Linked DNA regions of Drosophila melanogaster. The protein of the gene in region 2 purifies or fractionates together with the protein of the main gene of each other region. This does not show direct contact. Each region holds a gene or a part of one and is shown on either strand. Other genes may lie near its edges.

Region 1 (3,752 bases), 310 kb from region 2:
AGTGATAAGCCGGAGCGCGACAGGGATCGAGACCGGGAGCGGGAACGCGGCAACGGGAGCAGCAGCAGTAGCAGCAGCTCAAGCAAGAAAAAGCTGGGCACCGAGATCGGCAAGGCGGCGGCCGACAAGTCGCGGGGCTTGTTCAGCGCCGAGGACTGGCAGTGCAGCAAATGCGCGAATGTGAACTGGGCCCGTCGCCAAACCTGCAATATGTGCAACGCTCCTAAGTTCTCGGATGTGGAGGAGCGGACTGGTGAGTCCGTAGAAGCCTGATCTGCTTCAAAACCCACTTAACCAGTTTCTTTAAAGGCTTTGGCGGTGGATACAATGATCGCGGCGTGGTAGAGTACAAGGATCGTCAGGATTCGGATAGCGAGTACGATGAGTTCGGTCGTCGCAAGAAGCGAAAGCACGGCGAGCATAGAGAGGACTCAAAGAGGCCCAGAAGGTCTAGCCGAGATGAGCAGCGGAATGATGAGGAAGAAGATGAGGACGACGACGAGGGAGACGACGAGGATCTATCAAAGTACGATCTCTGGGGCGACGAAGAAGTCACTTCCACGGATGTCAAGAGCAAAGAGGGCACTGGCAATGGCGACAAGGAGCGCAAGCGTACCTCACGCGACTCTACCTCTTCCGTGTCCTCCTCGTCGTCGTCCAGTTCGTCCAGCTCCAGCGACTCTTCGTCGAGCAGCTCGAGTAGCTCCAGCAGCGGCGGCAGGCGGAAAACCTCCTCGTCGGGCAGACGTTAGCTGCAACCGTACCCTTTAGGAACTTCTCTTTAATTGCGTCTGTTTTTACACATTTTTCTAAGGCAATCATGCTTGCCTTCTTATTTATTTGCCAGTATGCGCTCAGATGATCATGACATAGGGTACGATGTCCAGCCTAACTCTTAAAGTATAATAAAACATATAATTTAAGAAAACCAGCATTTACATTTATTGTAAGACACCGTAACATTAAAGAATCGGGCCTAATTGAAGCCATCCTCGTTTTGTTTCTTGCTGCTGGCGGCTGCCTCCGCCTGCTGCAGCTCCTTCAGCATTTCCAGCTGCCTTTTTGAGTCGGCGATCTTCTCTTCTGTCACGGTCACGGGGACATCGCAGGAAATCTGTTCCTGCCGCACGAACTGCATCTTCTTGATGGCCTCCTCAAGGAAGGGTATTTGCTGGGCCTGCAGCTGCTTATGGTAAGCCTCTAGCCGCTCTTCCTTTAGGTTTTCGCAGTATATGTCGGTCAACTTTTGGAGGGATTCCTTGCGGGTGATCCAGTGGAAATGTGTGGGCGGTGGCTTGTACACCAGGTCGAGTTTCTCGAGAATCCACTCGAAGCGGGGATAATCCCAACGTCTCAAGTACTTGAGGAACTTCTTGCGTTTGTCGATGAGCTCCTTGAGACGCACCTTGATCATCTTGTCGCGCGGATGCTTGTCCATGTGCTCCTGGTAGCGGCGGATAACTGCAGTCATTTTTGCCACTAAAAGAAGGGCAAATTTGGGGGGAACTGCTATATGTGCACTTTGCAAAGATACATACATTTGGCCTCCATTGAGCCGAAATCCTGGGCATGTCTTTGCACCTCCTTGACCATCTCATCGCGATAGAATTTTGTGGTCAGGTAACTAGCGTTGTTGCTCAGTTTGAACAAGGATTTAACTGACTCGTCGGCTCTACAAAATGGTGAGATGATGTAAATAAACTATTATATTGAGAGAATACTGCAACATACTTATCCAACTCCTTGCAGTCCCTGTATTCCGGCAGCAGTTCGTCGGCTTTCAGAGGAGGCAGCTTGGCTAAATCGCCGCTCTTTTCGGGCTTATAGCACGCGATCTTCTCGGGGCGCATCCATTTGATTTTCAGGTCCGACTTGAATGCATATTCCCGGACAAACTGCCGATGCCCTGCCTGGGCTATATTCAACAGTTTATTCATTAATTCGGCTTTTATTTGTTGGACAAATTTTGGCTAGGTTATATCACTTGGCCAGTGTATACCAACAATCGAAAAGTTATTACTACCCAGCTGTTTGACCCATCGATTTCTTATCGATAGGCCTTGACAGTGTGTGCACACCGGTATTTCTTTAGTCAACAGCTGTAGAAACACCAATTGTTGCCGATTTCTTTCTTTTCGACTGTCGGCTTCTCGCGAAACTGTGATTGTGAAAATTGTACAAATAGAGGCAAATTTAACCATGGCGCACATGTCCCACATGCTCCAGCAGCCTTCGGGGTCGACGCCCTCCAACGTGGGCTCCAGCTCATCGCGCACGATGTCCCTGATGGAGAAACAAAAGTACATCGAGGACTACGACTTTCCCTACTGCGACGAGAGCAACAAATACGAAAAGGTGGCGAAAATTGGCCAAGGCACCTTCGGGTAAGTCTCCAAATTGGTGAAAACTAACTTTAAACTAAAACATACGACCCCTTTGATTACAGAGAGGTTTTTAAGGCTCGCGAGAAAAAGGGCAACAAGAAGTTTGTGGCCATGAAGAAGGTGCTGATGGACAACGAAAAGGAGGGCGTGCGTGAAAAGCAACATCTTAAGAGACGAATTCCTTATTTATATATGTGCTCCCCTAGTTTCCCATCACGGCTCTGCGAGAGATCCGCATCCTGCAGCTGCTAAAGCACGAGAACGTGGTGAATCTGATCGAGATCTGCCGCACCAAGGCCACCGCCACGAATGGTTACAGATCCACCTTCTATTTGGTCTTTGATTTCTGCGAACACGATTTGGCAGGTCTTCTGTCCAACATGAACGTCAAGTTCAGTCTGGGCGAGATTAAGAAGGTTATGCAGCAGCTTTTAAACGGTTTGTATTACATCCACAGCAACAAGGTGAGTCATGTCATTAAGCAAAGTTTTGGTTTTACATTGTATGTATCTGTTTTCATTTGCATTACTAGATCCTGCACCGAGACATGAAAGCTGCCAACGTGCTGATTACCAAGCATGGCATCTTAAAGCTGGCTGACTTTGGCTTGGCCCGTGCTTTTAGCATTCCAAAGAACGAGAGTAAGAATCGCTATACCAATCGCGTAGTAACCTTGTGGTACCGGCCGCCTGAGCTGCTACTTGGTGACCGCAACTATGGTCCACCCGTGGACATGTGGGGAGCCGGCTGCATAATGGCCGAGATGTGGACACGCTCGCCCATCATGCAAGGCAATACGGAGCAGCAGCAGCTAACCTTTATCTCGCAGCTATGCGGCTCCTTTACGCCGGACGTGTGGCCGGGAGTGGAGGAGCTGGAGCTGTACAAATCCATCGAGCTGCCAAAGAACCAGAAGCGTCGAGTCAAGGAGCGCCTGCGTCCGTATGTCAAGGATCAAACCGGCTGTGATCTATTGGACAAATTGCTGACCCTTGATCCCAAGAAACGCATCGATGCGGACACAGCTCTGAATCACGACTTCTTCTGGACGGATCCCATGCCCAGCGACTTGAGCAAGATGCTGTCCCAGCACCTGCAGAGCATGTTCGAGTACCTGGCGCAGCCACGCCGCAGCAACCAGATGCGCAACTATCACCAGCAACTGACCACCATGAACCAGAAGCCCCAGGACAACAGTATGATTGACCGGGTTTGGTAGACTGCCAGAGGTGTACGCACCCGACTAATAGTTTCTCACCTTCAACTAGCGTTAGGTTATTAGGTTAGTGTACAATAAAAATATTGGCATTTGCATTAGCGCTTGCTCCAAATATACCTACATTATGTTTCTCTGCTTCTTATTATTCT
Region 2 (3,752 bases):
TAAGTTTTAGCCAATCATTCGTTGATGGAATGTATTCCAATCGTATGTTTTACCTTCTCAGAGAAACTGGGCTTCGACAGCGAAAGCGAGGAGTCAGATGAGTACACCGAGAAGATGATCTTCCACGGCGAACTATCCTACGACCTGGTGGTCCCACTGATCGTCGTGTCCTTCTGCCTCCTGATGATCGTGCTGTCCATCGCCCGAGTGATCTACGTGGTGCTGCGCAAGCGCGGCGAGCGCTATCGCATGGCGCTGCTGGCCTCAAAGAACTCGTTCGTATACCAGAAGTTGAGCGAGGACATCGTGAAGCCGACCAGCAAGGAGCAGAAGGAGCCCAAGCATCTGAAGCAGCCAAAGGTGCACCGATACGCGCCCATCAATCAGGTCTAAGTCCACCTAGAATCAGCAGTTCCGGGCCGGTGGCCGCGGAAATCGAACGAGTTGCGCTGTTTTTCTAATTTATAAGTATATTGATAGTTGAAAAAGTGGAAAATCACATCAGACAATTGACTAAACACAAGCACAAGAATGTAAGAAACAGGAGGAGGAGCAGTAGGTGGCAGTTAAAAGTATTAGCGAAAGTGCGAGGAAACAAAGCAACAACTAAAAAATACTTGAATCCAAATAAGAGATTGAAAGAGAGAGAATAAATCTTTGACAAAATCCTTTATCCTTGAAATATCCTGTACCATCAAATACTGTTAAGACCAGTCAAAGGTCCTTGGCAACAGCAGAGGTGGGCTTTCAGAGAACGCGTTTGATGAGCAACCGTTTCGAAAGCAACGGATTTGCAATTTATCAAACCTCTGCCCACAATCCGTATCCAATTAGTCCATATCCGGGAACAACTTGAAGATTTAGTGCCATTTTGCCAAAATTCAAACCGAGCGAAAATTACTTAAACACATTAAGGTTTCTAAACTGAGTGTCAAGTCAGGAACAAGAAACGAGGAGCGAGGAACAGAAAGTAGTAAGAGTTTTAGATGCGGGTCTGTGTAGCAAACGGTTAGGAGACTCCCTAGAATGACGTCTGATTTTTAATATGATCAAGAGATGAGAGAAATAATTAATGCATAAACTATGTTAAGACTTTTTTATTATCTTTTTTCCAATCGAAGGCAAGTAACAGCTTGACCTATTCGACATTGAAACCGATTCCGAAAACAATAAATTATTTTAACCAAACCGATCGTAATCTTTACAATGCATACTTAATAGACATACACACTTGCATACGTACTTTAAACAATAACATGCCTTTCAATAAAATTGAATATATTTTATCTGCGTTCAATAAAAGACTCAAGTTGACCGACATCCCCTTCCTCCTTTACGTAGGTGCTCAAATTCCGCTGGAAACAGAGTGCCAATTCGTTATCTTCCCGATCCCGTTTCAGTTCCTCTCTGACCTGCCGCCACATCCGTTCAAATCCACTATCGAACGGCATTCCCAGGAAGCGATTATGTCTGGAACGGAGTTCATTGCCGATCTGCTGCCACATTGCCTCGAATTCCCCGTCGTAGGGCATCCCTAGAAATTTACCCTCACATCCGGAGGATTCGAACATGAAGGAGTACTCAAACATGTTTCAGTCTAAAATATATTATAATTACAAAAATTACAAGCTTTTTTTGGAGCAACTAATTTGTAGGATTTAATCCTTTTTTTTTTGTTTTAATGATATGATATCATGTATGATTTGTATGATATTATATTAATATTAATATCTTATATCATAGTATTTTTGGTCCCAGCGTCGGTCTTCTTCCTGCAGCTTAGGAAAGCAAACTGAGTAGAGGATTCTCAAACGAAGTGCAGACCAAAAAAGAGGCCACAAAATAATGCTGAATGTACATAAGATCCATTGCGACAAAGAACATAAAGTAAACAAAAATCAAGCAGGGCATCAAATTTCCTGTGATTCTGTATAGGGTTTTTAATGGTATTTTTCGTATATACACAAGTCCAACCAAAATTAAATGGTTCACTCTAAGCTTTTTATACGCTTAAAAAAAATAGAATTTTGAAAGCTCAAGTATGGTCAGATCTTAAACGAAGATCCGTTAGTTTAACATTTTTTTTTCTTCAAGAGAACAAGTTGAGCGTGGGTAAGTTTTGGCTCCAAATTAATAGACCTCCATGGACTTCTCAAAGAGTTGCGACAGGTTTTCCTGCGTCTGCGCCCTGGGTGCTAGCTTAGTGATCCTTTCCTGGGGCAGGGTTCCCTCCACCAAGGCGGGTATATCGCTGCTGGAGAATCCCAGCTCTCGGAGGCCATTTTCTATGCCCGCGCGTTGCATAAAACCGCGTACAGTGTCCGCCAAAAGACGACCGGCGTCTGCTTTTTCGACACCTCGCACTTCTGCGCCCAGCAACTGGGCAGCCTCCAAATGCCGATCCGGACAAGCTGGAGCAGTGAACTCAAAGACCGCCGGAGCACTGATCACCACGGATAGGCCGTGTGGAATAAGAGCGTGATCCGCGGAGTAGCCCTTTGGCTTGTAATCCCTCACATTTCCAGAAATAGGATAGGAAAGGCCATGACACAGGTGCACTCCGGCATTACCAAATCCCACGCCAGCCATTGTGGAAGCCAGGTGCATCTGGGATCGGGCTTCTAGGTTATCGGGCTGGTAAATGGCGTTCACAAAGTTTTTCCTTATCGTCTCCAATGCGAATCGTGCCCACACATCCGACACTGGGTTCCTGCCCTGGTAGGTGGGTCTCAAGCTGGGATCACTGGGCGCCAAACCGCGTTCCCTGTAATCCACCGCCGTGAAACTCTCCAGGGCATGGCAGAACACATCAAAGCCAGCGAAAGCCATCACGCGTTGCGGCTGGGATAGGGTGTGCAGAGGATCAATCACAGCTAGAGTTAGATAGAACGATATTAGAATAAATTATTTAAAGAAGTTCAGTTTTTTACCCAAAGTAGGTTTGAGGAACTTGCTGGAAATCCCAGTTTTGGCATGCAACTTCTTGTAATCAAATATAGCTACTCCAGTGGTTTCGGAACCTGTTCCCGAAGTGGTGGGCATCGCAATCAGGGGCTTCAGTTTTACGGATATCTAAATGGAATTCAAGTGGTATTAAAGGTACTAAGTCTAAAAAGGAGACCTCACCTCCTTGCCTCTGCCAATTGGGCAGTTTACATAATCCAAAAACTCTGCATTTGCATCACTGCTAAAAAGATTAGCTGCCTTGGCTGTATCCATGGCAGATCCTCCTCCGATGGCCAGAAATGCATCGAACTCCTTGCCGCGCGCAAACTCCACGGCATGCCACATGCTCCCATCCGTGGGCTCCACCCGGGTTTCATCATAGACTTCGTAGTTGATGCCATTACGAGCCAGTGAATCCAAGGCCACTTTCACGGAGGGCAATTGCACGACATTTTTATCCGTGACCAAACAAACCTTCCGAGCTCCCAAGTTGCGAAGATCGGCTCCCACTTCGGCACTTACTCCCGGTCCAAATCGAACAGTCGAGGCTGACATCTGTTTATCAATACATTTGACCAAATTTGAATTAGAATTTGTTATATACCGAACAAAATTTAAGTTAAAAGTATTCACAAGATCTAAAATATAAATTCTATTGGGATGCTTAAGAATATAGAGATAGTATTATCTGGTCCAGGGTATGACCACCTGTCTAAAGATGAGAATCTACTATCTGGAGGTGCTCCAAAGTCCAAGGTTTTGCCACTTACCTCGAAGGCGTATTCCATGCGACCCGTTTGGGAGGC

The links. The genes of interacting proteins can lie anywhere in the genome.
Region 1: the proteins of pgc (region 2) and Cdk9 purify together in Drosophila melanogaster (affinity purification with western blotting, with the first as the bait; one study listed by BioGRID). This does not show direct contact.

What each region holds. Positions count from the first base shown.
Region 1 is NT_033778.4:22,636,038-22,639,789, reverse strand, and holds Cdk9 (Cyclin-dependent kinase 9), read left to right. Parts: upstream 1-2,062; 5' UTR 2,063-2,199; coding exon 2,200-2,384; intron 2,385-2,446; coding exon 2,447-2,531; intron 2,532-2,590; coding exon 2,591-2,848; intron 2,849-2,916; coding exon 2,917-3,603; 3' UTR 3,604-3,727; downstream 3,728-3,752. Other genes in the region: CG3732 (uncharacterized protein), read left to right, coding at 1-253, 310-752; bonsai, read right to left, coding at 977-1,479, 1,539-1,672, 1,732-1,937.
Region 2 is NT_033778.4:22,328,132-22,331,883, forward strand, and holds the start of pgc (polar granule component), read left to right. Parts: upstream 1-2,068; 5' UTR 2,069-2,130; coding exon of another isoform or gene 2,131-2,873; intron 2,874-2,930; coding exon of another isoform or gene 2,931-3,072; intron 3,073-3,126; coding exon of another isoform or gene 3,127-3,501; intron 3,502-3,716; coding exon of another isoform or gene 3,717-3,752. Other genes in the region: Gp150, read left to right, coding at 62-393; CG34207 (uncharacterized protein), read right to left, coding at 1,284-1,589; T3dh (type III alcohol dehydrogenase), read right to left, coding at 2,131-2,873, 2,931-3,072, 3,127-3,501, 3,717-3,752.